4 linked regions of the Arabidopsis thaliana genome follow. The protein of the gene in region 4 purifies or fractionates together with the protein of the main gene of each other region. This does not show direct contact. Each region holds a gene or a part of one and is shown on either strand. Other genes may lie near its edges.

Region 1 (7,343 bases), on a different chromosome or scaffold from region 4:
TTTCTCTTTATGAAGTAAAGAAACCTTGCAAATTTTGTATTATGTAATAACTTTTTGTTTCTATGTGTATATCAAATCTTACAAGATATCTCAAATTTGGAGTATTAATTAACTTTTATAGTATCATTTCTCTGCCGGATGAATGTACCACACACAAAAAAGAAGAAGAAGAAATCTAGCATAAATCCATAATAATCAGTTGAGAAAAAAAAATAGTAAAAGATTATCTACAATGAGACTAGTCTCATGTACTTGGTAAACCTAATAACAACCAATGATCCATAATAACACAATTTCTATGGCTTTTGGTCATTAAATTTAATGATGATGGAATAGTTAAACACAAATTGTAATCCACGCTAAGATGTGAGATTTTGATATTGTGACAAACAAAAATGAGATTGATATTGTAAAATCAAATTTGAAAGAAATAAAAAAAAGGATGGTGAAGTTCATTGAACAGCTTGCATCTAAAGTGAATCTTTTAGTTACTTGCAAATGGTCCATGAGAATAATATACGAAGATGGTTAACATTTTTATGTAATATTTGTTTACCGTTAGAATTTAGAAAGAAGCAATCTCTCGTACTCTTTCTATTCTCTTCCCCAAAAACCAAAGAGAAAAGAATAAAAGAGAAAGTGAAGTTGGTGAAAGTTCTTTTTGGATTAGTTGTAAATCCATGTGTTTAAAATTCGTTTACTTGTTATATTAGTTGGAGATCCCCGACCACGAAATGTTAAAAAACACATCAAATTGTATAATGACTTGGACAGAAAATAATTTAGAATTTATAGACAAAACACAAATACCTACTTTTCTACCAAAAAAGGCATTTCAACTCATAGTTTTGTGGTTGATAATACTTGATATGAATGTAAGTTGGAACAAAGCCCACCCCACGTGTGTGCCGACGACGACCCACGTGCCGAACATTCCGTTGTGGTTACATGTTGTTGTTGTTGCTGTTTCATTGGAGATTGATAGATATTGTACCGATTTCATTCATTTTGCCTCACACACAATACTTCGTGGGGCACATGCTTCCTTGATTCCTTCCACTTTCACTTCTCTTATTTCTCCTTTTCTTTCTTTTAGCTTCTTCTTATTCATATAACAACATCTTTAATAGTAACAGAGGAGCCAAACGGCATGATTATGATCTCACTTTGATAAAAAGAGGGCTAAAAAAGGGTTTAAAATACTAATAAAGCAAAAGAAAAACAACCGTTGGAGCTCATTTACCCAAAATTCAGATCCCCACAACAAAAGTATTTTGCTTTCTCTAAGGTTTGGACCATTCAAAATTAGCTTTTTCATTACTACATTGATTTCTCTAACTTGAAATGATTATATAACTTATACCTGACTAACACATATGATAAGAGATTATAACACAAGGACAGTAAGTATCCAAATTTCCTTGTATCCATCAAATCAAGGGTTCAGAAAAATCTATAGGGAACAAACAGGACCGAACAAGGGTAAAATGACATAAGTAGAGGAGCCAAAGAAGAGGAATTCATCAAATAAAATCAAGATTGATTCATGCCGGTACAGAGAGCAAAGTAAGTCAAAGTCTCATATTACAGAAGATGATTACTTGGGGGTGAAAAGTCATAAGCTAAGATCTTCCAACTGGTTCGAGAGCTTCAACAGTAACAATGCTGTTTCCTCTTATCACCTGCATCCAGGAAAAAAGTAGAATGTTTAAACAAAACAAATGACAAGAAGATTCTGTGGGTGAGTTAGAGAGATGGAGAGAAACGTACCACCATCCCAATGTCAGTTTTGTCATCACCATTGACTTCAACAGTGTTATCCACAACAAGATTCATGAACTGATCAAAGCCACGGAGAGTTCCAACAACCATTCTGTTGGCATTAAGCTTAACTACATTGGGGGTAACAACAAAAAAAAGCAGACAAGAACTTCACTTGACCATACCAAGTTACAAAAACATGATAACAAACAAAGTCTAGTAAAATTCTAAATGAACGAGATACAAAACCTAAGAATCCATACAACTCTTAACTTTATGTGACATTGATATATTCTTAACCAAGATTAGCATTGAATCTATATATTGGAATTGTAAACACAAGTTTAATTAGTACACAAAAACACGCAATCCCAAGTAATACATGAACTGAAATGGCATTAATATAGCTCTTAAGTTGAGAAATCGGGTTGCAAGCAATTCTCATCTGAGTAAGAGATTTAGGTTCGACTTAAAGACGCTTTAAAATTGAAAAAGTGGAAGAAGAGATCGAGCTTACTTTGGAGTTTCTTGTCCATGTACCTGCATTACATGAAACAAACGAAGAACAAAATCAGAAACACGAAGAAGTAGGAGCTCTATGAAACCAAAAACTTCAACTAAATGGATACAGAGAAATTAGAAATCAAAAGGAAAAAAGTGGCGAAGAGAACTTACTTCTTGAGATCTGGAGGCTGACCTGATCGACTCATACTTGCAGAATCGGAGAAGACGAAAAACGAGAGCTTAGGGTTTTTCTCAGCTACGAACACTTTACTCGATTGATTCCAGTCTCCAGAGCGAAAGAGAAAGAAAAAAAATGACGTCGGTCTGCAAAACTAGAGTGGTCGAAGCACCGTCGTTTCAAGCCCATTGTTAATGGGTTTGACCGCAAAAAAAGCCTTTCACATGTTTCAAAACATAAAAGTAGGGGTGTTCCGAGAATCGAACTCGGGACCTCTCGCACCCGAAGCGAGAATCATACCACTAGACCAAACACCCGGTGTTACTAATTAGAGATATTTAGTCATTTATATTACTAAATTATTTATAACAATTTATCTTGAATTGTGATTACCCATCCAAAATTATCTGAATTACATGTAGTCAAAAGCCATAAAACTAAAAGAAAGATACCCACTGCATCAATTAATTACCAAACCTTTCTCCTTACTAGGAAATATTGCCTGTGATATGGCTCCTCATAGAGACTAAAGAACATAAAAGAGCATTCTTTAAACATCCATGTTGTTTATGTCTTCGATAACAACCAAGAGCATCAAGAAATGAGGATATGATGAGTTTTAAGTCATTGCAAGAGGCTATAAGTGGGGTCTGATGCTTATAATGCACTAACAGCTCAGGGCTAATAAGAAATATATGATCATAATCTGCTAATCTGTTTTCTTTTTCTTGCAAGAGATGCCATTCAACACAATCTAAGCGATAACATTCTAATCAAGAATTCCAAAAGCCGGACTTGGGATATTTGATGTCTTTATCATACAATCTCTCGTATAGTTGTTAATTGCATTCACCACATGCCACAAATCAACTCTTTTCATTCTTAAAATTGACTTTTTTGGTTGAATAATTGGGCCTCAAAAACAGATTATGACAAGTTAACAACGATCTGGCTTGGTTTGATTTCGGAACCAGCACGACATACTAAAACTTGCATCGGACTTTCTAATCTGATTCTGATGAGCAACCATAGCATTAAATATCTCGATAAAGTATCCATTCGCCAAAGTTAAAAAGAGAGAAAATGTAAAATATCAATAAGCCAACTAACAGTAACACGACGCGATCAGTAACTTAACATTTTTTTTCTCAATACCAAAAACTCCAAATACAAAAAAACACAGCTTATAATGTTCTCAAAGCAACTGGAAAGATAAATTGGAGAGAGACAAAACTAACTTCGAAGTGTACCCAAGAAAATACCCACAGTCTCAAGAGCACATTGCAACGATGATGAGCCTCATCGTGCAATCAGAGTCTTCTTCCTCTTCGTCCACCCTTTCGGCGTGTACTGTCTGTGGGAATCGGAGTCACATCCTCTGCAAAATGCATTCAAGAAAGATTCAGCTTCCAATGAGCAATCATAACAAAACAAAACAAAACAACTTGAGTGAGACTAAGTTTGTGTGTTTACCAATACGACCAATCTTCATGCCAGAACGAGCAAGGGCTCTAAGAGCAGACTGAGCACCAGGACCTGGAGTCTTGGTTTTGTTTCCTCCAGTAGCACGGAGCTTCACGTGCATGGCAGTGATGCCAAGCTCCTGTCACATAAACCATTATAGATTATCATCCAGAACCTCAAAGTCAATTAAAAAAAGGCATGGACATCGAATCATTTCAGACCTTGCATCTTTGAGCAACATCTTGAGCTGCAAGCATAGCAGCATAAGGAGAGGACTCATCACGGTCAGCCTTCACCTTCATGCCACCTGCAAAAGGTCACATAATCATTATATTTCTCGAAATATAAATGAATTTTACACTAACATAAACACAGGTAATAAAATTCACTACTAGGAAACATACCGGTGATGCGGACGAGAGTTTCTCTACCGGAGAGATCAGTCACATGCTGCAAAATATTGAAAGCAATGTCATAAACGCATTACACAGAAGGTTATATTACACAAACGCTAAGAATAAATGAGAAAAAACTTACAATGAAAGTGTCATTGAAAGATGCAAAGATGTGAACAACACCAAAAACTTGCTCTCCTTCACGAACAGAAGGTCCAAGAGTCACAGTCTCAACCTTTGGCTCCTTAGTTTTTCTCTTCGACTATTATATACAGAGAGAACAAAACACATTTGAGAAACAAATTGTTCACTGGTATTTAACCATAATTACATACCATCAGCTCAATATCAATACATGGAGATTAATCAGACAACCCCTAAACTATGAATCAGACAAGCCAAGATCAATAAGTCAATTTTGCATAGCTGAAACAAACGTATAAGTATGGAACATCGGAAACTAGCAGGACTAAGTGAAATCGCAGATCTCAATTTCCTAACAGACTAACGAAAACCAAATGATCTGGCACAGAAAAATGTTGGAGAGAAAGAGCTTACCATCTTCAACAATGGATCAGAGAAGAGACGAAACGATAAGTGTTTTTAGATTCTGCTCAGTGTAAACAAGAAGGACACTCACGGCGCTACAAATGCACGTTATATATTAGGGTTACATCGGAGTACCTCTATGAATTGACGTAAATACCCTCATCACTTTCATTACCCATTACGTCGTCGTTTGGTGTTTTTTTTTCTTAAACATTACGTCGTCGTTCGATTATTACTATTAGTCTTGTTAATTTTCTTGATTTTTTTTTGACAAGTAACAAAATTCACCAGATTTCTTATTGGAAATTATTATTTGACAAATGTGAACAACTTCACCTTGATCGTACCATCGTACTTGGTCTTATGAAGAACAAAGAAGTTTTCAAGTTATAACAGATAACTATGTAATTTGAATTTGACTCCATAGTTAAAGAATATGATGGGAAAAAGGACCAAAACGATTCTGATTATAGAAGAGAAGAAGAATTTCATTATAATACTTTTGAATTCATACGGAAACATCATTTCTCAACAAGAACCAATACCTTTACATATAAAACGATAAAAGATAGAGAATCTAAAATGCAGAGTTTGCAAGAGAGCCATCTTTCAAGCCTTGTTCATGGAGCAGATGACATAAGAGACTTGGCTGGTGAAATCAGAGCAACAGCACCTCTTCCAAGTTTCGAATACTTCTTCAACACACCACGTAGCTTGCTCTCCCCCGCTTTCGAGTGAATGAAAGCTAAAAGCTTTGAGCAATCCCTGATTACACACAGAAACGCACATAGAGAATTAATATACAAACAATATGATCACAAACTTGCTAGTGTAAAGAATTAAGAAGACTAACATGAGCTGAGATTCGGAGTAGCCTGTGTGGAATTTCAGTGTATCAGTCCAAGTAGGAGTCTTGTTCAAGCAACACCTTGCTGTGTAGACCGCTGATGCAGCAAGCATGGAAGGACAGAACATTAAACTGTCGTGATGCATCAAACCCAACTCAGCTAGAAAGTGAACCAAGTTCTCCAGTTTCTGGTCAGAACCCGAGGCTTTAATAAACCTCACAAGGAACACATACTGTGTTGGAACTGTCAAGTACCATTCAAGATTCCCCAAAATGGTTTTCTCCATCACTAGAATCTGTCTGCTGTTGTAGGAGTTATCAGTCACATATACCAAATCATTGACCTGAGGAGGCCAGATTTCTTCGTACTTCGAAGCTATAAGCAAAGCACTAACACCTACAAGCTGTAGTTCTCTTCTAGGCACAGTCTTCAGAGAAAGAAAACGATCAATTATGTTGACAGTGAGGTAAAGAGTCTCAGGGGAGAGATCAAACTTGACATGAACTTCTACAAGCCAATCAATAAGGATTGATCTCATCTTCTCATCAATCTCAGGTTGTGTATGCATATACATCTGAGGTTTGCTCTCATTCTGCAACAAAGAACAAAACAACAAACTTAAAGAAGACATTCACATAACTTATCCATAAGCATAAACAAAAGAAGGTTTCACTGTAAGTGTACCACAACTTCTTTGTAGAAAATGTACATATCCTCAACGTATTCCACAGCAGCAAGATCATTTTCTTTGTCGACATAATCAATATCCAAAGTCTTAGAAGCAGCCTAAGTGTGTACACCAATCACAAAACCAAATAATCAGAACTTTGCACATTATGCTTTCAATGTTGAACAAAGAATCTACCTTGCTTCGAGCATCAAGAACCGAAGAGTATGTCACTTTCTTCTTGTTCTCTTTAGCTTTAGCAACCTCGTTTGTATCAGGACTTATCACAATCACTTCGATTGGTTTTGACGGCTCACGCTTATCACCTCTTGCTTTCTTTTGAACCGCTCTTACAACTTCTTGTTTCTTAGTAACTCCATCAAGAATCGGAGCCTTTTTGTTAGCGGCGGCTGCAACTTGTGCGTTTTCTAGCAACTGAGCACGAAAGTTACGAGTAATGGGGCGGTTAAGCTTTCCTCCTTCGACTCCAATAAGAGAATCGACGTTTCCAATGTCGCCAAGAGCACGACGATTCTTTGCTGCTGCGTTTTTGAGGTCGATGGGATCACCTGATAAATTTTAACAAAAAGCAACCTATCAAGATTTGGATCCTTGGAAAACAGATTTGTAAGCAATCTTTGATAACATCTAAATAAAAGGATTCATAGATGAGAGTTTTTATGCAGATCCTAGAGTTAAAACAAAGATTCATCAGAGGGGAGAAACAAACCTCTAACTGGTTGAGGATGAACAACTGGTCCTGTCGCCATGATTTCTGGTGTTTTCAAACTCTCTGATTACTCCAAGATAAGGGGTTTCTAGATGAGAAGAAGGATGATTGAGATTTGAGAGAGAGCGCTTAAGGGATAGAGAAGAGAGGAGGAGCCATTAAAAGCATAATCGCAACGGTCAAATTATTAGCGGGATTAGACTTCTAGCCGTTGGATGATGAACTTTAAATCTAACGGTGGATAAGG
Region 2 (7,336 bases), on a different chromosome or scaffold from region 4:
GCATGATACTGAGAAAAAAGTCATTTCTTTCACTGCTTATCATTTTTTTTAACTTTTATATTTTAGATTTGATGCATTATACTAGTTAGGATTTGTGTAGTGATAGTAGCAGATCATGGATCTTAAATTCACTGTGGACCTTAGAACATTTATGTGTGTAGTAATACTCCTTAAATGCCTCTAGAAAGCAAGTCATGGAGGGTGTTAGGACCGGTAGGTCAACAAGTCTTACTTTATGTGGTTGGTTTTGGTTGGAGAACGACCCTCAGACTAAATTTAATTTATTTCATTTTTTTGGTCTTTCCTCGTTTAGAGTGTTGTATTTGATCCCTTGCAAATTAAATTACCTTTCTTTCTATGGCTAGCTTGGTGGTTGAGAAAATTTATTCGGAAGTTGATACATGTTTGAAACTAAACAAACTGATACATGTTTTGATTTTAGAATGCGGAATCAGGCTGGCTTCAGCTGGATACGCGGTTTTTGGTATGGACTATGAAGGTCATGGAAGGTCCATGGGATCTCGTTGCTACATCAAGAAGTTTGCGAATGTTGTGAATGATTGCTATGACTACTACACATCTATTTGTGGTATTTCATTTGACATATATAACAATAACATTCCTCTCTCTCTTCTTCTCCGTTTATCAGTAAGAAGAGATTTTCTCAACCCCTTAAGTTAATCCGGTTAATTTTATGTGACACCAGCGCAAGAGGAGTACATGGACAAAGGCAGATTCTTGTATGGAGAATCCATGGGAGGCGCAGTCACTTTATTGCTTCACAAAAAAGATCCTTTGTTTTGGAACGGCGCCATTCTAGTTGCTCCAATGTGTAAGGTAAAAAACCTGCAACTATAATTTTAGATTGCAGAGTCGTAGGTGATAATAATATTGAAATGCAAAGTATATTGTTATGTTTAAATATGCAGATATCTGAGAAGGTGAAGCCACACCCTATAGTGATTAATCTGTTAACTAGAGTCGAAGAAATCATACCTAAATGGAAAATAGTTCCAACAAAAGACGTGATTGACGCTGCTTTCAAGGACCTCGTCAAGCGAGAAGAGGTCTGTATAGTGTATACCAACCCTCTGATCACCATCGAAATTGGTTATATGTAAATAATTTGGTGTGTGTAAATGCAGGTAAGGAACAACAAGCTGATATATCAAGACAAGCCTAGGCTCAAAACCGCACTTGAGATGCTTAGGACAAGCATGAACCTAGAAGACACTCTCCACGAGGTTCATGTCTCTTATTGATTGTTCTTGATCCCGTGTTATGACATTATTTCTGACCAAGACAACATGATATTGCAGATAACAATGCCATTCTTTGTATTACACGGAGAAGCAGATACAGTGACGGATCCAGAGGTAAGCAAAGCTCTGTACGAGAAAGCTAGCACAAGGGACAAGACGCTCAAGTTGTATCCAGGGATGTGGCACGCTCTGACGTCAGGTGAGCCTGACTGTAACGTGGACCTTGTTTTTGCTGACATCATCAATTGGCTTGACCTTCGAACCGCTGACCCTGCCTCTCTCACTGTCACTCCTATACGAGTTGGTAACACTACGAGCGTCCAGAGGGTAACTACTGTTAACGGCGTTAGTAACGGTCATAGGAGGCCTAAACGTCCCTTCTTCAATCTCCTTTGTGGTTTGAACCGTGGCCGTTTGGTTCCACGATCCACTGTGTAATAAAATTTTATCAAGGCAAACAAAAAACAATTTATGAAAAAGAGAGTTATGATTTTGTGTGAATTATTAAAGATTGGTGGTCTCATGGTTTGAAATTTGAAAATGTATGGCCCAAAGAATTTATAAGTTATGGCTACCTAAAATATTTATATTCGTTTGGAAAACGTTAAAGCCCCCCAAAAAAAACATTAAAGCCCATATAAATTGACAAGGCCCAAAATTTGAAAGGCCTAACTTAACTATGTTGTAGCGCCGGTCCGCCAAGTACTTTCGAGTATCGAGTCGTCGTTCTTCTTCTTCCTCTGAGAGAGAGATCTGCGGAAAACGAAAGCGAGATTTATCAGGTAAGGTAAAACCCTAACTTCTTCGATCTTTCCTTGTGCGAAAATCTGTAATTCTGCTTTCCTGAGTCTCTTTCGTATTCCTTTACTTTGATAGGTTCGGTGATTCTTTGTGGAGAAGAAGCTCGCGATAAGTCAACATGAGGTATATCTCTCGATGGTTCTAAGTTTCTTCTGCATTTTGTGGTGCTCAATTTGAGACTTGTCTAACACTGTGGTGTTTCTCTTGATTTTCTATATTTTTTCTCGCAGCAAGCCAATGGAAGAGGATACCAATGTAAGCTTCCTTCTAATTTCTCTCGCTACTGCTTTTCTCGATTCGCTGTTTGCCATAATTCATCTACTGTTTCCAGTTTCATCAATCTTAGCTGTCTCTAGTACTTGAGTAGGACTGTGCCACTAAAGATTTTCACTGAATTTTTGTTCCGTTCTGCGTTGAATGGGCAGTAGAGAATTGGATGTTTTCATCACTTCTGCCCTTTGTTGTAATGTCATTTGATTGTTGCTGTTATAAACTCCATTAGTTTCCTGCTTGTATGATACTCTTAAGGATGTGTTCTCTCCTTAAATGTTGTTTCTAATTCATCATGCTTGATACTGTCCTTAGCAGGGCAAGACTGAGGAAGAGGAATTCAACACCGGGCCACTCTCTGTTCTTATGATGAGCGTCAAGAATAACACTCAGGTATAGAGATCTCTAGGAGATGTATTGAGCTTCTGATGTTAGATAATGATGTTGTATATGAAAACTGATTAAATGGATAGATGTTTTTGACCTTCATGGGCTAGGTGTTAGACAATGAAATATTGAAATGTATAACGAAGAGTGGTTAAAATGGAAAGGTTATTAACAAGGTCAACTTTTTTATGTTCAGGTTTTAATCAATTGCCGGAACAACAGGAAACTTCTTGGGCGAGTGAGGGCGTTTGACAGACACTGCAACATGGTTCTTGAAAATGTCAGAGAGATGTGGACTGAGGTAGCCAATATTCATTATCCTGAAATCAGTTTTGTCTACATATAAAACTTGTGGTGCCTGAGATGGCGTTGGTTTGGTTTAGGTTCCGAAAACTGGGAAAGGCAAGAAGAAAGCACTTCCGGTGAACAGAGATCGGTTCATAAGCAAGATGTTTCTACGTGGAGACTCGGTCATTATCGTCCTCAGGAATCCAAAATGAGAGGAAGAGAGACTTAGAGACATGTTCCTTGTTTGTTGTGCTAAAACTGATAAATTCTTGTAGGTAGTAGCATCTTTTAAAGTTATTCGTCTCATTTTCGTTTATGTCCGAATTGACAAGATCTTTTAAAGATCTTTTAAAGACATGTTCCTTGTTTGTTGTTTGTTCAGCTCGCATGTCCAAGCTCAAAACTACGGTGATTGCATTAAAAAAAATAAAACTTTAAAATCGGTGAGGTTTCAATATCACTACATTGACAGGAATAGAAATATCAAAATTAAAAATGAAAACGAAGAGAAACGAGAATCTCCAGCGACAGTTACTCTGTTGATGATGAAGTGGTGGAAGAATCCTGCTTTTGGTCGCCAAAGACACGTTGACGGAAATCTTTGACCATAAGTGGGAGTCCTTGGCGTAGAGCCACCTTTGGTTCCCAACCAAGAAGCTCTTTGGCCTTTGTGATGTCTGGTTTCCTCTTGTGTGGGTCGTCCTCTGTGTTTGGTCTGAACTCTATCTTTGCGTTCGGGTCAATTGTCTCTTGAACCACCTGCTCACCCACCATCCACTCGTTTGGGTCAGATACAAAGATTTTGAGTGATCAGATTATATGTAACAACAAGAGAAAAATGTACCTTAGCGAGCTCGAGCATGGTGAATTCACCGGGGTTACCAAGGTTAAATGGACCGACATGTTCTCCCTCCATCAACCTCATCAGACCTTCCACCTATCACATTATATTTTGCACTCAAGTTTACCAGTACACAATAATAAATAACCATGTAAGGATACGTAGAGACAAAATGAAGCATGATTTTTCAGCTCAACAAAACAAGGACATGGTATAATAAAGATCCGTTGTTGGTACCATAACATTGATTGATATCCATCCATCCCCAAAGTTTATGTCACACTTTACAGAGCTAATCCATTTTACTATGGCATCAAGGTTAGTGAATCCCGTTCACAAAATCAAATCATAGAGAGATCGTAAATACAAGTGATTAGACTAACTATCCGAACCTCAAATATAGATTCTCAGCCACTTATTGTATCCTAGTGAGATCAACTATAACTTTGAATAGTATCAAGATAGACTGTTTTCTGTTTTTACCATGTCAAGTCTGAAGTATACCCCATGAAAGTAACAATTGAAAAAGATGTGGTCATGGCAAAATTTGAAGAAGTAGGGCTACTACACCATGAATTGAACTTTTCCTTGTTTTTATCTAATCATGAATTTGAAAACTTAAGGAGGAAAAAGTAAAAGGGGATTACCAGATCAGAGACAAACTGGAAACTCCTAGTCTGCTTACCATCACCATAAACAGTCAAAGGCTCTTTTCTTAATGCCTGCACAACAATCATCATTACTTAATAAAAGGTATAATTCCGTTGATCATTTATTAAGCCACTTAATCTAACACAAAGTCCTCCGCACCTGGGCAACGAAGTTGCTAACCACACGACCGTCATCGATACACATCCTTGGGCCATAAGTGTTGAATATCCTAGCAATCCTAACCTGTTGAGGAATAATAAATCAGTCAAAATCTGCATCTGCATTTTCTAGCAGCGAAATATAATGAAAAAGAAAACAGACCTCAACATTAGCGCCTCTGTGATAGTCCATGGTCAAAGTCTCAGCCGTACGTTTGCCTTCGTCGTAACAACTCCGAACACCTGTTCCAATTTGCCATATCACTACTCTTTCAATATTCCACCAAACACAAATTGCTCAATCTATTATTTCAGAAAGAAGAAAATTTGATTAAAATGTGGGAAGGGGGGTAAAAGCGTCAAATAAGGAGGATAAAAATATCTCCTGCGGGTGCGTCTATGAAAGAGACACACGTCTGAGAGCCGTACGATTAAAGGACCCACAATCTACGCTTCAAATGGAAGGAACTTTGACCAGATCTTAAAAAAGAACTCTCTCTCTCTGTGTTTCTTCTGCTAACGTGCTGTGTTTCTTCTGCTAACGTGCGCTTAATTGTTGTTTCAAAATGAGGAAGAAGAAGAAGAAACAGAGAGGGAGATGAAGGGGTAGTACCGATGGGATTAACGTTGCCCCAGTAAGTCTCAACCTGAGGATGTTGAAGAGGATCTCCATAGACCTCACTCGTACTCGTCAGCAAGAATCTTGCTCCCACTCTCTTCGCTAGTCCCAACATGTTCAATGTTCCCACCACATTCGTCTTGTATCCACACACACAGAGTTAAGGACAAGAGCAAGCAAGATCCATACTACATATAACAACATTGATGATGATAAACTGAAATTCCTATAGAAGGAAAAGAAAAAGGATATGATAGTCTTGACGGGATTGAATTTGTAGTGAACAGGAGAAGCAGGGCATGCCAAATGGTAGATCTGATCAACCTCTAGAAGGATCGGCTCCACTACATCGTGACGGATCATCTCGAAATTAGGGTTATTGAAATGGTGCATCACGTTCTCTTTCCTTCCCGTGAAGAAATTGTCGACCACGATCACGTTGTCTCCTCGAGCCATCAACCGGTCCACCAGGTGTGACCCGACGAACCCTGCTCCACCTGTCACAACAACCCTTAGCACTTTCCGTTTCAAGCCTAGAGGGATTTTGCCGCCTGCCGATCCGATCCGGCTCATGTACTCGATGCTTGGCTTCTTATGAATCGTCGCTGGCAGATACGATGACTCCGATCGCATTCCGTATCCGGAAAGCGGATCCACGTCGTAAGGAATTGGTTGGTGGTTGGATGATTTGGAGAAGATTGTGAATCCTAATGTGGCGATGGCAATGCCGACGAGGACGAAGACGAGTCTCTGTTCTCTGAGCATGTAACGGATCGGACGAATCGCTACGAACCATGGCTTTATCGGCTTTGGATAATAAGATTCCGCTTCTGGTTGCTCTATCTCGTGTCGCCGGTTTGTCAGCTCAGACGCCATCTTTCAGAGTTTCTGGATCCACGATCGTGATAAATGGAAGGAGAAAGTAATCGTGATTTTACCGAGTCGAACTAGCCGGAGACTGAGTCGACCTGTAGGACGGGGAGTGAAAACCGATTTGGGTTTTCGCTTGTATTTAAGTAGACGAAGGTGCGTTACTGTTTTAGCCTCGTTCTTCTTCTTTTATTACGATGATGCCCCTATATTTACTTTGTTTCTCTCTCTCTTTTAGGCGTTTTTCAGATTTGAAAAGTAAACGATTCTTCAAAACCGGACGGACATTGATTACTATCTTCGTTCATTTGTTGACCAATTACAATTTTCTCTTTTATAAAATGTTGTCTTTACAAAATTAAATGACTAGTTTTATAAAGAAATAAATTTATTTTCAGTTTTGTATTTATTACTTGTTGTGAATCAATCTATTTATGACTTATTAAATAACTTTGATGTTTTATTTGGCAACTACTGACATTTTCTTTGCATTTTTATATTTTGTATAAATTATAACTTTTGTATTCATTGTCATTATGGGGAAATGAATTTTTGAATTGGAAAGTGCTGACAACATATAAAGTATATGTAATATGACTATGTAAGTAAGGAATTATTTAGAGAAAACTTCATACTCGATCGATATATAAAAAAACGACGAAAATGTATCATAGAGTTAACAAAGTAGAGTAATGTACCTTAAGAAAGTCAATAAGCGCCTAATTTGTCACGCAAAGCCAATTTGATGGCAACTTTGAGTGATTTCAACGCTCGTTTATTTTCTTCTGTTTAATTATTTTTCCCACTAGTGATACCTAACATATATATATGATCATTTATGTATACATTTATCGTTAGGAAATATATTTTTCTCGTACGAAACGTTTATTGACAGATTTATAAACTCACATGCATTCATAACGTTTTCACTTTTTTGTTGAGAAGAAAACGTGACATAACAACGTTTTTTGACACAAATTTTGGCATATTATTATTTAGGTACAAACATGTTTTGAGTTTCGATGATAACTTTTTTTATGGGTCAGATTATATTGTATGGGTGACCGTGGTAATAACATTTATCTAGGTTTACTTTGACGTTAACTTCCTAACATACATAAACAAAAACGAATATAAGTTTGCTAAGAGAAAAGAGGAAGAAACAATAAGAGATTGATTTGGTGTCGAT
Region 3 (7,564 bases), on a different chromosome or scaffold from region 4:
ACTGCTTTCCTGATATAAGACCACTAAACTCGTATATATTGTTGAAAACAACACCAACTGAGTCCTCGGGATAGTAGACGTAAAGCATTTCACTCAATACACATGTCTTGGAATGCTCTGCAAGTGTCTCCCACATCCTGTTTGACATGCCACTTCCAAGAATCTGAAAATCAGAGTAAGAGTCATCATGATGAATAATAATATTTGAACATCTTGGTAAGATACTGGATAGTTAAATCGTGCACTCACAGTCCTTAGTTTCTGAGAGTCTTTGACCATAAGACGCAGGAATTCTTTAACATTGTAGATTCCTGCTTTATTGAGTTTCTTATGGAAAGCCCCGTCCTTTCCAATCTTTTCCAACCTCCAGACCTCATCATCCAAAGCAGGTGGGTAATGTTTCTTGTACACTGTAGGAAAAAAAAACATTAGGCAAAAGAAAAACAAAGATTCAGATACATCAATGACTAATATCAAAGGAAAGCAAGAACTTACACTCTCCACGATGGTCCTTCACGGTAAAAGCTTCTGTTTTTGCCTCGCGTACACGCATTCCCTCACAGTAACCCGAAGAGACCCTTAAACCCAGCCTGAATTTTCTGCATCTAATCCAACTTGAGTTGTCCGTAAAGATAAGTTCCCCTAATGTTCCCACACCTTCTTTCAACGTGACCTGCACATCACCAGTCAAGAGAGGCCTCTTCCCTTGACGTTCTTTCACCAAATGACCCTCAAACTCTTCTCCACTCCAACCATCATCATCTTCAGTGTTAAAATCACCATCAAGCACAACAACATCAAGCTTTGCAGAAGCTTCAGGTCCTACTGTCAAAACATGTCCAGTTGTCATATCCAACAGTACAACATGGATTGCAGCACCTTGCTCCCCTTCTATCTTCCCTCCAGTAAACAAAGGAACAGACAATCTAGACCTGAATTGTAGCTGCAAATTCCTTCCACCGATACCTTCAATTCGTTTTGGAGACGACCTGTGAACTCAAGCATTAGAAGAAAACCACAAATACTCCAACCATTAATTTTATCTCTTTTTAAAACAGTCATATGTTACCTTTCACTAAGTCTTGCAGGGCCAAGCTTTGCCAATGCCCGCTCCACCTCTTCACTTACCTGTTTGACAATGCTCACAAAACAAATCAGTAAGCCAAAGAAACAACACAAAGCACCAAAAGACATGTAAACAATTCTTATTAAGCTAACCACTCGGCGAAGAATCGGTTCCAAAGAAGAACAAAGCCTCTGTAAACTATCCATCTTCAAGGCTTCCACAATTACACTGCAATAACACATACACAACTTTCTCAAATCCACAGACAATCAATATACATAACAACCCTTTTTTCATTCATACAACTACAAATCAATTACAGATTCAACAACGCCATAATCAATAATCAGAAAAATTACAAGCATCAACACAAATTACCTTGCAAGAGCTGGCCTTTTACGCTCAGGCTGTTGCTGCTGCTGCTGATTATCATCTTCCTCCAATTTTCTCTTCTCTCTCATACTATTAGTCCTCTCCATATACCTCGTCTGCATTTTTTACGCTGCTAGAAGCTCTGATCTATAAGATCGAAGCAAGTAAAAAACTTCACCAACCCAGAGAAAGAATCACAAATCCAGCTCTCAAACTAAAAAAAAAATCAAAACTTTACCACAAACAAATCAAACCCAGAAGCTAAGCAAGATTTTATGAATTCTACTTAAAAGCTTCTTCAAACAAACGGAAAGAGAAACCTGAAAATTCGATTCGAAGGAGAGAGAAAAATACCTCAAAAATGGTGTTTTGGATAGAAGAAAAAGAGAGAGAGATAAAATGAAAAGATCAAAAATTAATTTACTTGAAACACTTGTCTAGTTTTGTGATTAGTCGAGTACTTTGACTAGTTTTAGTAATTAAAGATAGTTATCGGGTGCGGACAAGATCACAGTAGGCTTGGATTGCCGTCACTTTTGCTTTTCGTTTATTGGACGACATTCTTGGGCCGGCGGCTAGTGTATGTATTTTTGGCACATGCTATATTCTAAAGTTGATAATTAAATAATAATACTTTGTTGTATAAAGTCCAATTATTTGTTATTAAAAAAAGACTTTAATAGTAAAAATACATTCATTTCACCAATAGCAAGATTAGGGATAAGATTCAACAATCAACATGGATATAAAAACATCTAATTGCAATGAAAAGTTAATGTTCACATAGATTTCTGTATTTTTATGTTAACTTTAACAGATTATATTCTGATTGGTCTATTAGTATAATTAAACTTTCAATCTACTTGAGCCCTGAGAATGGCCAACTCGGTCAGTTCACCAAACAAACAAAAATGATACAATTTTTTTTATAATCAAAATCAATTGGTTTTACTTTTTTAAGGTTTGAAATTTAAACAGAGGTTAAAAAGTTGCAACAAAGATCAGCCAAATTACATAACACTAGATTTAACCAAAAGGGACCAAATCTCTTTTTTGAAGTTTTAACCAACCAATCCACTAGATTCGATCAAGCTCCTTTGTCACTCACTACATTGCAATATATTATACGACATTGAAGAAAAGAAGGTATCGTCAAGTACCAATTAAGCTGAGGAAGAACTCAACAGATATTTAACATAAGCTTGAAGGTCATCGAAGAGAGTTGTTTGAGACAGACATCACTTTCCCCTGTTAACATAGAAAGGATTTTGTTTCAATCTTTTGTTATGTGACAAATCAAGCTGCTATACATCATAAAGAGAGAAGACAGAGTAGAGATTGTGTTACTTACGTGTTCATCATCAGAGTTATGTTGTCTCCTTTGAGTAAAATCCTTCCTGAAAATAGGTATTAACACGAGTTATCAAACCATAAGCAGACAGATCTGAGACTTGTTATCAAAGAGTGAGTTCAGGATAACTCACCAAGTGGTTTCCTGGTGTTCTTCTTGATGCTCACTTCTTCAGCCTCATCCAAAACTAGATTCATGTATTCGTCAAAACCCTGCAAAGGACGACGGATAAGCAAGGTTTGATGGATTCTCCTAGAAGAATCAATAATACACCCAAATTCAAGTAGACAAAAATCTAAGTTTAAAACCGAGTAGAGTGACACTATCACAAATATCATGTTCCTCCATACATATAATCAACCTCAGAAAAGCTAGGATCTTAACTCGAGGAACAACAAAAGTCAAGTAGACTGCAACATGGAACAACAAAAGTCAAGTAGACAACTCAAACCTTTAAGCCAATGAGAATGACACCATCACAAAATCTCAAGTTTCTCCAAATTATCATAGAATCAAACTAAGAAAAGCTTGAATGCTTGAATCATAACTCGAAAATCATAGAGGACATACAACTACAAGCATAGCAACAAACTGAAACAAGTAACACCCAAAGCCAAGTAGGCTGTAGGAGACAATAAGTTTTAAGCCGAAGAGAATGACACAATCATACTCAACCTAAGAACAGCTAGCTAATCAAACTAGTTTCTATTGGCAGGCTCTTATCAGTTCTTTGTGCAGTAGTAGTAACAGTGACAACTATCCCTTTTCAATTCACAACAAATGCAACAGTTCAAACACAGACTAAATTAGAGAGATAGTCACACTGCTAATGCATTTCAAACTCTCCTAAAGTTAGCATAACCCTCGAATGTCCTATAAACAAAGCCAGGAATCTAATCAATTCATGATAACGGAGCTTCAACATCAACTTACAGTGATTCTTCCTTCAATCCTCAAATCTTTCTGCTCAAATAGCCAAATCTGGATCCTAGCTTTCTGCATCACAAACACAAAAGACCAGGGAACAAATCAGTAGACGAACTACTAATAACCTAAAACCTCAGAGAGCAAATCAGAAGAAATTGAACAACTTACACTTTGAAGAAACCTAAAAATCAAGTTCTGGAGCCGCCGCCACCGGAAAACAAAAAGCAAGATACAAAATTAGGTTTCGATAGAAACAATAAAGAGATGGAACAAAGGAATCGAAGAAGAAACGTACGATAGGTTGGGTCATAATCCTTTGAACTTTGGTGCTCGCCATGGCTAACGTAGTTGGAAATCTCTCTCAAGCTTTCGAAAATTCTCTCTCAGAGGAAATCTAAAACCCTAAAAAGCGTTTGTCCCTCTGCTAATACGCTTTTTTCAACATTTTTCTTAAACTTAGTTCTCTCGGTCCTCATAAAACTTCAGAATGTTATTTCAGCCCATAACTAATTAATGTGATCATTTGGCCCAAATACTCTTTTCCAAGACCTAGAATTTTTTAGCGTAGGTTTTTAACTTTTTTTTTTTTTTTTTCAGAGAAAGATTTATTTTTAATATACTGAGGCTCAGTGTTACAACATAAAAGGCTCAAGACAGTCTACATATGAGGTCCACAACAGACTTTTACGTCACAAAAAAGAGATAAGCTTAAGACGTGTCAGACCAATAATAATAAGCTAAGGACACGTGAATCTTCCACAACCTCCACCGGATGAGACTCAAGTCTGGTGAATCGGAGAACCATCGCCGGGAAAGCACCGAGCAATGAAACTCTTTTTTTCTATCACCGATTATGGCAATTAGATGTTATAGAACAAACATCAATTTCCTAATCTCATATGGTTGCTAGAATCACAAATAATTCATCAAAACGGGTAAAGAAATTAAAAAAATTGAGTAGTTCAAACTTGTCCAACCATTGAATCTTCGAACTCTCTTGCAAAAGCACTAAAGGCATATCAAATTTGCATAGGATAGAAGCTTTAACCCAATCTTAGGCGAAAATAAAATTGAAACTGTCTTAAATATGGTAGATCCAAACGAGGGTAATTGCTGGAAACGCACACATCGCCGAAAAACTACCAGAGCCAAAAGCATAACCCAATAGTGAAGCTAAACAAAACAGAAGGAGAATAGATCTTGTAAAGAGAAACCCTCTTCAGATCTGACGATTCTGCATGCCATAAAGCTTCATCATCAAACCTTTGAAGTAACAAAACAAAAACAAAGATGACCAACGCTGTTAGTGTAAGCCCAACGCTGCCGTACGGAAGCTGGCCAACGTCGCTAAGTTAGCCAACGATGCCATACAAAAAGCCAACCATCTCCACTAACGTAGCTAGAAGATGTCGGACGAAAGCCCGAATTAAACGGGACGGCGACTCACCGGAAAACTATCCGGTTAACAAAAACAAAAGAAATTTCAGTTTCTATCTTTACAAACTACGAGAGAGCGAAGAGAGAAAAACTTTTTTGTGTGGTTTATTAACTTAGGTTTTTAATTTTTTATTATTCTGGTAAAAATATACGACTAATAATGATAATTATTAAAAATATTCTTACTTAGAAATTGGTGTCGATGATAAATTGGTTCTCAGTCGAACTAGTGTTAAAATAAATAAAAATATGACAAAGAATCACATCTATGTGCTCAATGCTAGAATTACAAAGATTGAAGAGAGATTGAAATTTGACCAAATATTATCTTCCCACATTCTTATAAATAAACAAACTTCATTCCTCACAACACAAAAATGTACAAAACCAACAATAAGCAGAAATTAAAAAGAGAAAAATGGTCACAATCTCAGATTTAAAAGAAAAGAAGACTAAAAAGCTTAGGCTATATCTATGACTAACTGAATCAAATCCAAATACAAAACAATTAGCTTTGTACAAAGAATCCAGCTTTGAATCTCAATCATTCATTATTTATCATCAGAGATTGATAAGGAACCTTCTTGATCTCCACAAATGTTGAGTACTCAGTGCTCATTGGTTGCTTCCATGGCTCACCATCCATTTGCAAGAATGCGTCTCTCCAGTCACCTCCTCTTAGCTCAAATCTTACCGCAGCAGCCTGAAATGATCACCAAAATGAAACAGTCAAACACATGGCTAAAAAGATTATACATTGACCAGTGTCTTTTGAAGTTACCTGAGCTATGTGCTTGGCAGAGATGAGCTCAGCCATGACAAATGACGCGTGCCATCCTTGCTTAAAACCGAAAATCTCTATCAAACCATCATCACAATGTGCTTCCACAAAGCCTCTCTGAGAAAAACCAAAGAAAACATTCGGGTTAACATCAGAGAACTGAGTTCATATATGATGAAATGGAACAGAAACAATACCTTCTCTAGATAGTCCGGTTTTAGATTGCCCCAAGGATGGCTTCCACTTCCATAGCTGTGAAGATTCAATGCGACAATTGATCTCACACTACAAGAGAAATCCATAGCATCAGGTTTTAAGCATTGATATCAAAGATTGTAATACATAAATCATATATCGAAAACTGTTTTTTACTTTTTCGGGACTGCGATCTCTTCCCACTGAGAGCAGTTAACCTTTTTGATGTGAATTTTCATTATGTTCCTAAGTCCCCTGCAAATTCATATAGCACAAACAAGGGGTCAACAACACAACAAAGGGCTTAAGCAGAGACTTACACACAAGTTCAACTACACAATAAGAGTCGAAATGGCGAACCTTAAACCTGGATCGTTGACACAAGGCGTGCAAAACCAACCCTGACTGCAACCAAAACTTGAATATATAATCTGCAAAAGCAAACATTGTGTGGTTGGTAATGTCGTTTCTCAAAACCAACATAACTACTTTAGCTTTTAACAAAGACAAATAATGAGTCCAAAGTTTAGGTGCAAATATAATAAACAAACCTTATTTGAAATAGGGCCTTGAGCAAGATATGGTTTAGTGTTGCGAAGATGGTGGAAGCCATATGCAACTTGAGCATCCATACCTAAACAAACCAGACAAACACAAGAATCTGGTCAGAAAAACAATTGTGAAAATTGTTTAGGATATCAAAAAGAGAAGTTCAACAAACCTATGCTTAAGTAATTGTAGAAAACACCTTCATAAGCCTTTGCAAGTGGAGGCGCATCAATTCCCGCGTCCAAACCCTGAAACCACCATAAAGCCTGGTTAATTACTAAACCGTGGCAATTTACAAAATCACATGCTGATGATTCAATGAGAAGAAGCAAGCCTAATGAAATAGAGCAAAACCTGATCAAGTTCGTTTTCTTCAGCGGGTTTTAAAGAATAAGGAGGATCTACGACTTCTCCAGATGGCATTGACACTAAAATCTTCCAGCTGCAACACCACATAACCAAAGCGCATACATTTTTACAACAAGAGAAATACAATAAAAGCTAAATGTTTTGAGCAAAATAAGACTTTTACCTGTCAAGTCTAGCAACTGGACCCATACTTGCGCGATGGAGTGTTCTTTTAACAGCAGATCTCCACGCAAAAGGAAACGAACCACCCTGAAGAAGAGATACCATAGTCAGTACCAATTCAAAAGTTTTGTCACGACAACATAAGAGAGAACAAAGAAAACACAACTCACCCAACCAAAACTCCTTGAAAGATCATTCCCTGTACCGAGAGGAATAACTCCAACAGGAGGAATTTGCGACTTTCCATCTTTATTAAGCTCTCCAAGACATCCAAGAACCCAACCAACAGTACCATCACCTCCTGCAACCTATCCAACCAATTCCATTCACAATTCTGATTGCTAAAAACATTCAA
Region 4 (7,321 bases):
TTTGATTAGCTTGGCTTACTAGTAATAATGGAAGGGACGCAACCTCATCATCTATATCGTCTTCATCATCTATATCCTCTTCACGATCCATAACATCTTGCATCAATTGTGCTAATATGTATGTAACTTCTTCATCTTCTTGTGTTGAACTTGTCGGTTTACCTGTTGAATTCGCCATGATCGATCTCTCACGTTCTCTCTATCTTACCTTGCTGAAGAACCTATCTATAGGGTTTGTTTTTTTCCTTCTTTCTAGCAAATCAATTTCCTTTTATACTTTGATTTTCCATTTAAATCATATATATGAAAGTTGGCCACCTCATATTAGTTTAGTAATTTTAGTTAGATATTTTTTTATTATTACGTTTTGTGAATATGATTTTATCATATGACCTTCTTTCTGTATATTTTTGTGCGTTCTGATAACTTGGTAATATTGATAAACAATTTTTTTCACGTAATAGTCATCTGACACATTAGACATACCAAAAAAAACATAAGACATTATATTGTTATATGCAAAAGAAAATAATTAAAGTGTTGACTTAAATTACTAGCATATCATGATGTGATTGTTTACTAGATGACAAAAAAATATATGGAATAAAAAATTGTTTGTTATAATTAAGTTAGACAAGTTTCAAAACACATAAGTAATATAACTACATTCATTTTATCAATCTATCATATATTGTTGTTGTATGTGATTATGATAGTTAAATATTAGAAAAATAGATATATAAATTTTCATATTATAGTAGAATTGATATTTCGAGTTATAGATGAAACTAATCATAAAAATTAATAATTATATTAAATAGATATGAATTATAGTAATAATTATATTGAACATCAAAATAAAAAAAAAACCATAATCATATTTTTCCGACAATTCAAAAAACAAAAACCGATGCTACGCATGGGTGTTCATCTAGTTGTAATTAATAAAAACACATTTAACTTTTTTAATCGACAAAATAATTATTTTAACTCTGTAAAAATACTGCTCTGTTTTTCAAAAACGTCAATGAGAGATATAGACTAGAGACCTCTCTAATAGCTGATGATGAATTTTTTATAATAAAAAGCTCTGTTTCTTGATACCATGTCGTATAAATTTCTATATCATACATGTATATGCTCTACTTGAACGACTTCTTATGTAACTTGAGTTCTTGTTATCTCAATACAAGTTATGTTTGTTCATTCTTGTCTTTAGGGAAAAACTAAGAAGATTTTTGTCATCGACAGATTCCTTGCGGTTCATCAAATCGTGAGGAAAAAGCTTCAGCTTGTTGGTGTTACTGCTTTGTTGCTCGCATGTAAATATGAAGAAGTTTCAGTTCCAGTGGTAGATGATCTCATCTTGATCTCTGACAAAGCTTACTCTAGAAGAGAAGTGCTAGATATGGTGAATACACAACTTTGTCTTGATCATTAACTACCACTGGTTGATGCTTCATAGTTGAATTTACCTGTTTTTGGTTTCTATTGCAGGAGAAGCTAATGGCCAACACCTTGCAATTCAATTTCTCTCTACCAACTCCATATGTTTTCATGAAACGATTTCTCAAAGCTGCCCAATCTGACAAGAAGGTATATATCTCCCTAACTAAAAAAGCTTGAATCATTATGTCCGGAAACCATCAGGCCTAATATCTAAATCGGTGTGGTATATGCAATTGTGGTGTCAGCTTGAGATTTTATCATTCTTTATGATCGAGCTTTGCCTTGTGGAGTATGAGATGCTAGAGTATCTTCCATCTAAGCTGGCGGCCTCAGCAATCTACACTGCTCAGTGTACACTTAAGGGATTTGAAGAATGGAGCAAAACCTGTGAGTTTCACACAGGCTACAACGAAGAACAGCTACTGTAAGAACATACATTGATTGTTTCGAATTTTTTTGAAAACCCGATGACATGAGATTTTGGAATCCTGACAATGGGTTTTGTGTTTTTTCCTAGGGCATGTGCGAGAAAGATGGTTGCTTTTCATCACAAGGCAGGAACAGGGAAGCTCACAGGAAGTACAACACATCTAAGTTCTTTCATGCTGCAAGAAGTGAACCAGCTGGGTTTCTGCTTTAAGGGAGGAAAAAACTATAATAAGAATCTAATATGACATAACTCGAGTTTTTCTTTTGAACAAAAAGAGTGTGAGAGAAAGAGAGATAGAGCAAGTTGCCCAAATGGGATATGTACAATGGTTGGTTCGGTTCTTCTCTTTTTAAGGTCTTTAAGATCTTTCTTCACTTGAGAGAGAATAAAAAGAATCTTTTGATATCATGCTTTCCTATATTCAACTTGTGAATTGATCCTACTAATTTCATGTATAATCGTTGTAAAATACTCAGGAAACTCTATGACCCATTTTGGTTAATATTACTCAGGAACCGAACCTCTACACTCCATCAAATATTCTTCTACAAGTCGTTTTGGTGTTTGCTGGTACTCTGGAACTAAACTTTTATAGACTAAATATTGTACAAGTCATTTTGGAAATTTTTTGGATAATTTGGGAAAATAGCAGTAGACAAGGTTTTACATGTTGAAAATACAAGTACAATATTATTTTCTAGCTTATATTATTAATGTTATAAATGACCAACTTTGTTTTCTGATCTTAGTCTTATTAAGACCTTTATGAAAACAATGTACTTTGTTTTACTCATCTACTGTCAGAAATGGAGAATGCGCAAAGAAGAAAATAGATCACAACGAAAACTTGTCAATGATTCAAACATCTTGGTAACCCAAAATACAGAACTAGTAGTGCATCTGGATATCTCTCTCTCTTGTTTGGTTTTACAGTGTTCTCTAAAGCATTAATGACAGAACCAAGAAAGGCGGCTTTCACCTGGATATCACAGAAAGACTATCCCAGAATCAAAGCTTACATGTTGAGCGTAAAATCAATCATCTCCTCACAGGTGGTACCGCTCCCCTTCCTCCAGTTCCACGCCCGGGCCCGGCAGCCGGCTTTAAGATAATATCACAAAGATTCAAGAATCTAACCATTAGTAGTGACAAAGAAGAAACAAACCATTAAGGGATAACAAGGATTTGAACATCTTAACAAGTTCCATAAAACTTCCTAACATTGCATTCATGAGCACTAAATCATAAGAGAGAGAGGGTGAACTTACTTTCCCTCGCATTGCACCTCTACCTCTGCCAACACCCAGTGATGAGCTCTTTCCCTACATTGATTAAGCAAGTAAGGTAAGATGTTTGTTGGAGATATGTATAGAGATCCTAATATCATTCTGCATCCAGGGTTCAAAAAGCATATATACCTTGATTCTAGCATCTAACCGCTTGAACATTGGAGCATGTTTGAGAATGTCTGGTATGACCATAAACCTGTCAAGATATATCCGCAGGTCAATTACTAAACAGCTAGGGTTAACAAGAATGATCCCATGAATTACATAAACAAGGAAACAAGTACAGCACCTGACTTTACTGCCTCGAATGAAGACATGCTCAAGCTGTGATACCTTACCATCCTGTAACACAGCATTGGAAAACCCAAAACAAAAGTTCAGTGACAATTAACAAACAAACCCATTAAGTTGACAGATTATTTATGTATACTATGAAGAATAACACTTAAAGAGTTAAGACTTTCTGAATTGAGAACTACATGTAGTTCTTTTCCCAATAATTACAGGTTGACTCAAAACCCATACGGCACAATAATCCGCAAATAAGAGGACGCTTTAAGACCTGCATACTTCAGATAATTCACATTTGACCACTGTATTCCTAAAGAGCAACTTAGGCTTTGGATAAAACGTTACAAAGCACAAACGTAGAACCTTTCTTCTCAGTTATTGATGTGTCCTATAGATCAATAATAAGTTTAACCAATCAGAGGAGACTATACCCTACAGTCAAAATTTATCTAATGTCACTGGCAGGATCACGCATTCTAGGGTTTTATACAGCATGAATTTCAAGGATTCTTAATCTCACTTAGAACTTAAAATAAGAAGCAATCTAAAATTTCCCAGCAAATTTGCCCAGCTCACCAAATCTAGGGTTTTAACAGCACTAACATCAAACAATGAAATTGAAACGAAACCTATGGTTCAAAAAACAGTCTCATATAAAATGAATCGAGATCTTCAGAGTATCAGTTGATTACCTTGGCGGTATAAGTAATATCCTCGAGCTGACAGTTCCAGTTATCCTCACACTCAATCATACTTCCTCTGTAAAGCTCGCCGCTCTTTAGCTCCACCGTCACGATATGACCTGAGGCCTCGTGAAGAAGCTTCACCGGTATTCCCAAACTTCGGCTCATCTTTCTCTCTACAAAACCCTAATTGAAAACCTTCTCCTTTAACTCTGCAACCTAGAAAGAAAAAAATGGCGGAAGGAAAGAAGAGCGACTCAGATGCGATTGACGAGTTTACCTCTTTTAAAGCTTTCCTGATTTATTTTTGGGCTTTATATAGGCCCATATTTATATTAGGCCCAATTTGAGAAACTTGCTTTTTAGTCCCTATATTTGACATTATTTTAATCCTTATTTTTGTACAGACGACGGCTGATTTCACGGGTTAAGACGAAGGAACCACCGTTACCAAAACTCGCCGGAAGAGATGGCGGACGAGATGGAGACCAAAGGAGAGAAGAAGTACAAGTATAGCATAATCATTCCTACCTACAACGAGCGCCTCAACATCGCTATCATAGTCTACCTGATTTTCAAGCATCTCCGGTAAATGAATATTTATTTCTTTTGGTCTTTTCACGTTCATTCTTTCATTTCAGAATCGGAATTACGTTTTTTGTTATTCTTTTACTGAATACTCGAACCTGATCGCCAATTTCAAGTTACGGATCTCGGAAATTTTCCGATCATGTTTCTGTAGATTGCAGATCCTAATTCGTGATTTGTTGTTTCTGTGCATGAGCTAGTAAAGGCCAATGTAGTGATCCCTCAAACTATATAGTAGTAGTTTCATGGTGTTTTAAAAACTTTGATTTAGTGATCGGAGAATAGTCAGAAGCTACATGTGCTAATCTTAGATCGATTCTGGTTATGGCTGCTTATATGAAATTAATATAGAATTGCACTTGTTAAGTAGACTCTTTGTTAACTGTTACTGAGAATTTGCTTCGCTACTTGTTTGTATGATTTAGGGACGTTGATTTTGAGATAATTGTTGTGGATGATGGGAGTCCTGATGGCACACAGGAAATTGTCAAGCAACTGCAGCAATTGTATGGTGAAGACCGTATCGTGAGTACAATGATGTGTTAAGACCTTAATTTGTAAATTATTGGGCGTTCTTCTGTTTAGGTGAAATCATGTTTTTATCTTTTTTATGATGCAGCTTTTAAGAGCTAGAGCCAAGAAGCTTGGTTTGGGTATGTAATTTGTATCTTCATTGTCTTCTAGTTTTGGTTAACAAGAAATGAAATTAATTTTCTTGGCATGGTCAATCTCAGGAACTGCATATATTCATGGTTTGAAGCATGCTACGGGTGATTTCGTCGTGATCATGGATGCTGATCTTTCACATCATGTAAGAGCCATTAATTTAGTTTTCTTGTTTACCTGTTTAATTGTTTAGCTAACCCAGTCACTTTTCTTCTGTGCAGCCAAAATACTTACCAAGTTTCATCAAGTAAGAAAAAGAAGAGTCTCTTGATCTCTTACTAGTTTCACAACCTATAGTGACTTCAACTGATTTGTTTTTTTTCTTATTATCATAAAGGAAACAACTAGAGACAAATGCAAGTATAGTAACTGGTACACGATATGTAAAAGGTGGTGGTGTACACGGGTGGAATCTTATGCGGAAACTCACTAGTAGAGGAGCAAATGTGCTAGCTCAAACACTTTTATGGCCTGGTGTATCTGATTTAACAGGATCATTCCGGTATAATTCAAATAACATATGCGCATATTTTTAACTGACATCATTTGATAGTATCATGTCTGACCTCCGCACCTCTTTGTTTGGAAGGCTATACAAGAAATCGGCGCTTGAAGACGTGATTAGCTCATGTGTGAGTAAAGGGTATGTCTTTCAGATGGAAATGATTGTTCGTGCAACCAGAAAAGGATACCATATTGAAGAGGTCTCTCTTTTTATACCAATTCACTGTGATTTTGATTCTTTCTAAACTATATTTCCATTCATATTCTTGATTCTCTGGTGCTCATCTTCATCTGCAGGTACCGATCACTTTTGTTGACAGAGTCTTTGGAACTTCGAAACTCGGAGGATCTGAAATAGTGGAATATCTAAAAGGCCTCGTCTATCTCCTGCTTACAACTTAAGACACACCAAGCAACTCAACAACACACGAGTCTCTCTTTATACTCTTCATTTGTTCCATTGCTTCATAGATTTCTCTTAACAGTTGAACTCTGATCATGTCGTTTAGAAACTTCACTTACTTTGACTTCAGAGAGTCGCATCTTTTAAGACTCAAAAGTTCATATTATAGACATTGTTGATTTTGAATGTTGAGTTGAGATATCTTACATTTCATAAATACCTTAACCAACCAACCAAAGAAGGTTTTATGTTTTAGATCGTTCGTAATGTGATAATCTTTGTCACTGCGACGGGCCTTTATAATTTGGGCCCATTTGAGACCTTTCTTCACTTGCTCTCACTCACTCTCTCTCAAATTCACCCACATCAAAGCTTCTCCGATTTCCCTCCGAACCAATTTGGTATGTGAAAATCAAATTCACAGTGATGTCTGAGTCGTTGCTTCGTATTGATCACGCCGGCTTAGACACCCTAATTCCGGGAATGATGTGCAGTCACAGAGTTTGGACACACTCAGAACTAGCTCCTCCTTCAGTGAGCGTGAATGAATCCCATCTGGTAATGCCACAAACACTACTCTTTTCAAATTCTTTTCGGCAAAGCAACTTAAACCCTTTTTCTCCGGAGGTTAATTAGGTGAAAGGTCTCTTACAAGCTTTGCAAGGTTTCTCTAGTCCCTTCATTTTCTGGGACCGAAAGGAACAAACTTTCCGCGCTAAAAGTGAGATACGAGTTTCTCATTTGTCTCAGTCAAGCCTTCATGTCCTTCTCGCTGGATTTTTGTATGCTGCTACATGTTTGAAGCTTGTGGAGTCTATTGTTAGTGGAATTAATGCCTCTCTTAAATCTCCTCCTACTTTAATGGCATTTTCGAACTCTGCCTCTGGTTGGCTTGAGGCAAGTAGTCCACAACTCCCTATTAGTTTTTTTATTTATTTATTTGGCTTGTTCTTGAATATTTGAGACTGATGTACAATTGGGTATTGGAACAGAGACTTAGAGATATTGCTTTGAATGA

The links.
Region 1: the proteins of AT1G20580 (region 4) and AT3G11500 fractionate together in Arabidopsis thaliana (co-fractionation; one large-scale study listed by BioGRID). This does not show direct contact.
Region 2: the proteins of AT1G20580 (region 4) and AT2G47640 fractionate together in Arabidopsis thaliana (co-fractionation; one large-scale study listed by BioGRID). This does not show direct contact.
Region 3: the proteins of AT1G20580 (region 4) and AT2G18740 fractionate together in Arabidopsis thaliana (co-fractionation; one large-scale study listed by BioGRID). This does not show direct contact.

Annotation. Positions count from the first base shown.
Region 1 is NC_003074.8:3,620,004-3,627,346, forward strand, and holds AT3G11500 (Small nuclear ribonucleoprotein family protein), read right to left. Parts: upstream 2,604-7,343; 5' UTR 2,472-2,603; coding exon 2,437-2,471; intron 2,302-2,436; coding exon 2,279-2,301; intron 1,893-2,278; coding exon 1,771-1,892; intron 1,683-1,770; coding exon 1,623-1,682; 3' UTR 1,602-1,622; exon of another isoform or gene 1,330-1,601; intron 1,122-1,329; 3' UTR 959-1,121; downstream 1-958. Other genes in the region: AT3G11510 (Ribosomal protein S11 family protein), read right to left, coding at 3,754-3,821, 3,917-4,046, 4,129-4,214, 4,312-4,357, 4,445-4,564, 4,861-4,863; CYCB1;3 (CYCLIN B1;3), read right to left, coding at 5,472-5,616, 5,705-6,291, 6,384-6,485, 6,565-6,935, 7,097-7,136.
Region 2 is NC_003071.7:19,535,212-19,542,547, forward strand, and holds AT2G47640 (Small nuclear ribonucleoprotein family protein), read left to right. Parts: upstream 1-1,962; 5' UTR 1,963-2,044; exon of another isoform or gene 2,045-2,049; intron 2,050-2,138; 5' UTR 2,139-2,181; coding exon 2,182-2,186; intron 2,187-2,293; coding exon 2,294-2,318; intron 2,319-2,648; coding exon 2,649-2,726; intron 2,727-2,916; coding exon 2,917-3,021; intron 3,022-3,103; coding exon 3,104-3,220; 3' UTR 3,221-3,539; downstream 3,540-7,336. Other genes in the region: AT2G47630 (alpha/beta-Hydrolases superfamily protein), read left to right, coding at 443-589, 707-837, 930-1,067, 1,146-1,244, 1,320-1,700; UXS4 (UDP-xylose synthase 4), read right to left, coding at 3,540-3,785, 3,853-3,945, 4,497-4,571, 4,660-4,743, 4,822-4,901, 5,272-5,419, 5,530-6,153.
Region 3 is NC_003071.7:8,119,823-8,127,386, reverse strand, and holds AT2G18740 (Small nuclear ribonucleoprotein family protein), read right to left. Parts: upstream 4,167-7,564; 5' UTR 4,054-4,166; coding exon 4,012-4,053; intron 3,912-4,011; coding exon 3,885-3,911; intron 3,786-3,884; coding exon 3,723-3,785; intron 3,002-3,722; coding exon 2,923-3,001; intron 2,836-2,922; coding exon 2,790-2,835; intron 2,687-2,789; coding exon 2,677-2,686; 3' UTR 2,309-2,676; downstream 1-2,308. Other genes in the region: AT2G18750 (Calmodulin-binding protein), read right to left, coding at 1-163, 250-410, 496-989, 1,070-1,128, 1,219-1,294, 1,445-1,560; DGK3 (diacylglycerol kinase 3), read right to left, coding at 5,698-5,856, 5,935-6,051, 6,132-6,219, 6,307-6,384, 6,490-6,560, 6,681-6,763, 6,851-6,926, 7,033-7,120 and 2 more.
Region 4 is NC_003070.9:7,125,968-7,133,288, reverse strand, and holds AT1G20580 (Small nuclear ribonucleoprotein family protein), read right to left. Parts: upstream 4,423-7,321; 5' UTR 4,311-4,422; coding exon 4,152-4,310; intron 3,511-4,151; coding exon 3,458-3,510; intron 3,365-3,457; coding exon 3,298-3,364; intron 3,202-3,297; coding exon 3,148-3,201; intron 2,981-3,147; coding exon 2,918-2,980; 3' UTR 2,490-2,917; downstream 1-2,489. Other genes in the region: AT1G20600 (AP2/B3-like transcriptional factor family protein), read right to left, coding at 1-178; AT1G20590 (cyclin), read left to right, coding at 824-994, 1,220-1,411, 1,498-1,596, 1,695-1,873, 1,967-2,123; DPMS1 (Nucleotide-diphospho-sugar transferases superfamily protein), read left to right, coding at 4,612-4,730, 5,156-5,255, 5,350-5,383, 5,465-5,541, 5,618-5,643, 5,734-5,898, 5,986-6,100, 6,198-6,302; AT1G20570 (Spc97 / Spc98 family of spindle pole body (SBP) component), read left to right, coding at 6,730-6,861, 6,940-7,200, 7,296-7,321. UniProt on the Arabidopsis thaliana protein: Core component of the spliceosomal U1, U2, U4 and U5 small nuclear ribonucleoproteins (snRNPs), the building blocks of the spliceosome. May play a major role in the splicing of cellular pre-mRNAs. Required for normal plant development.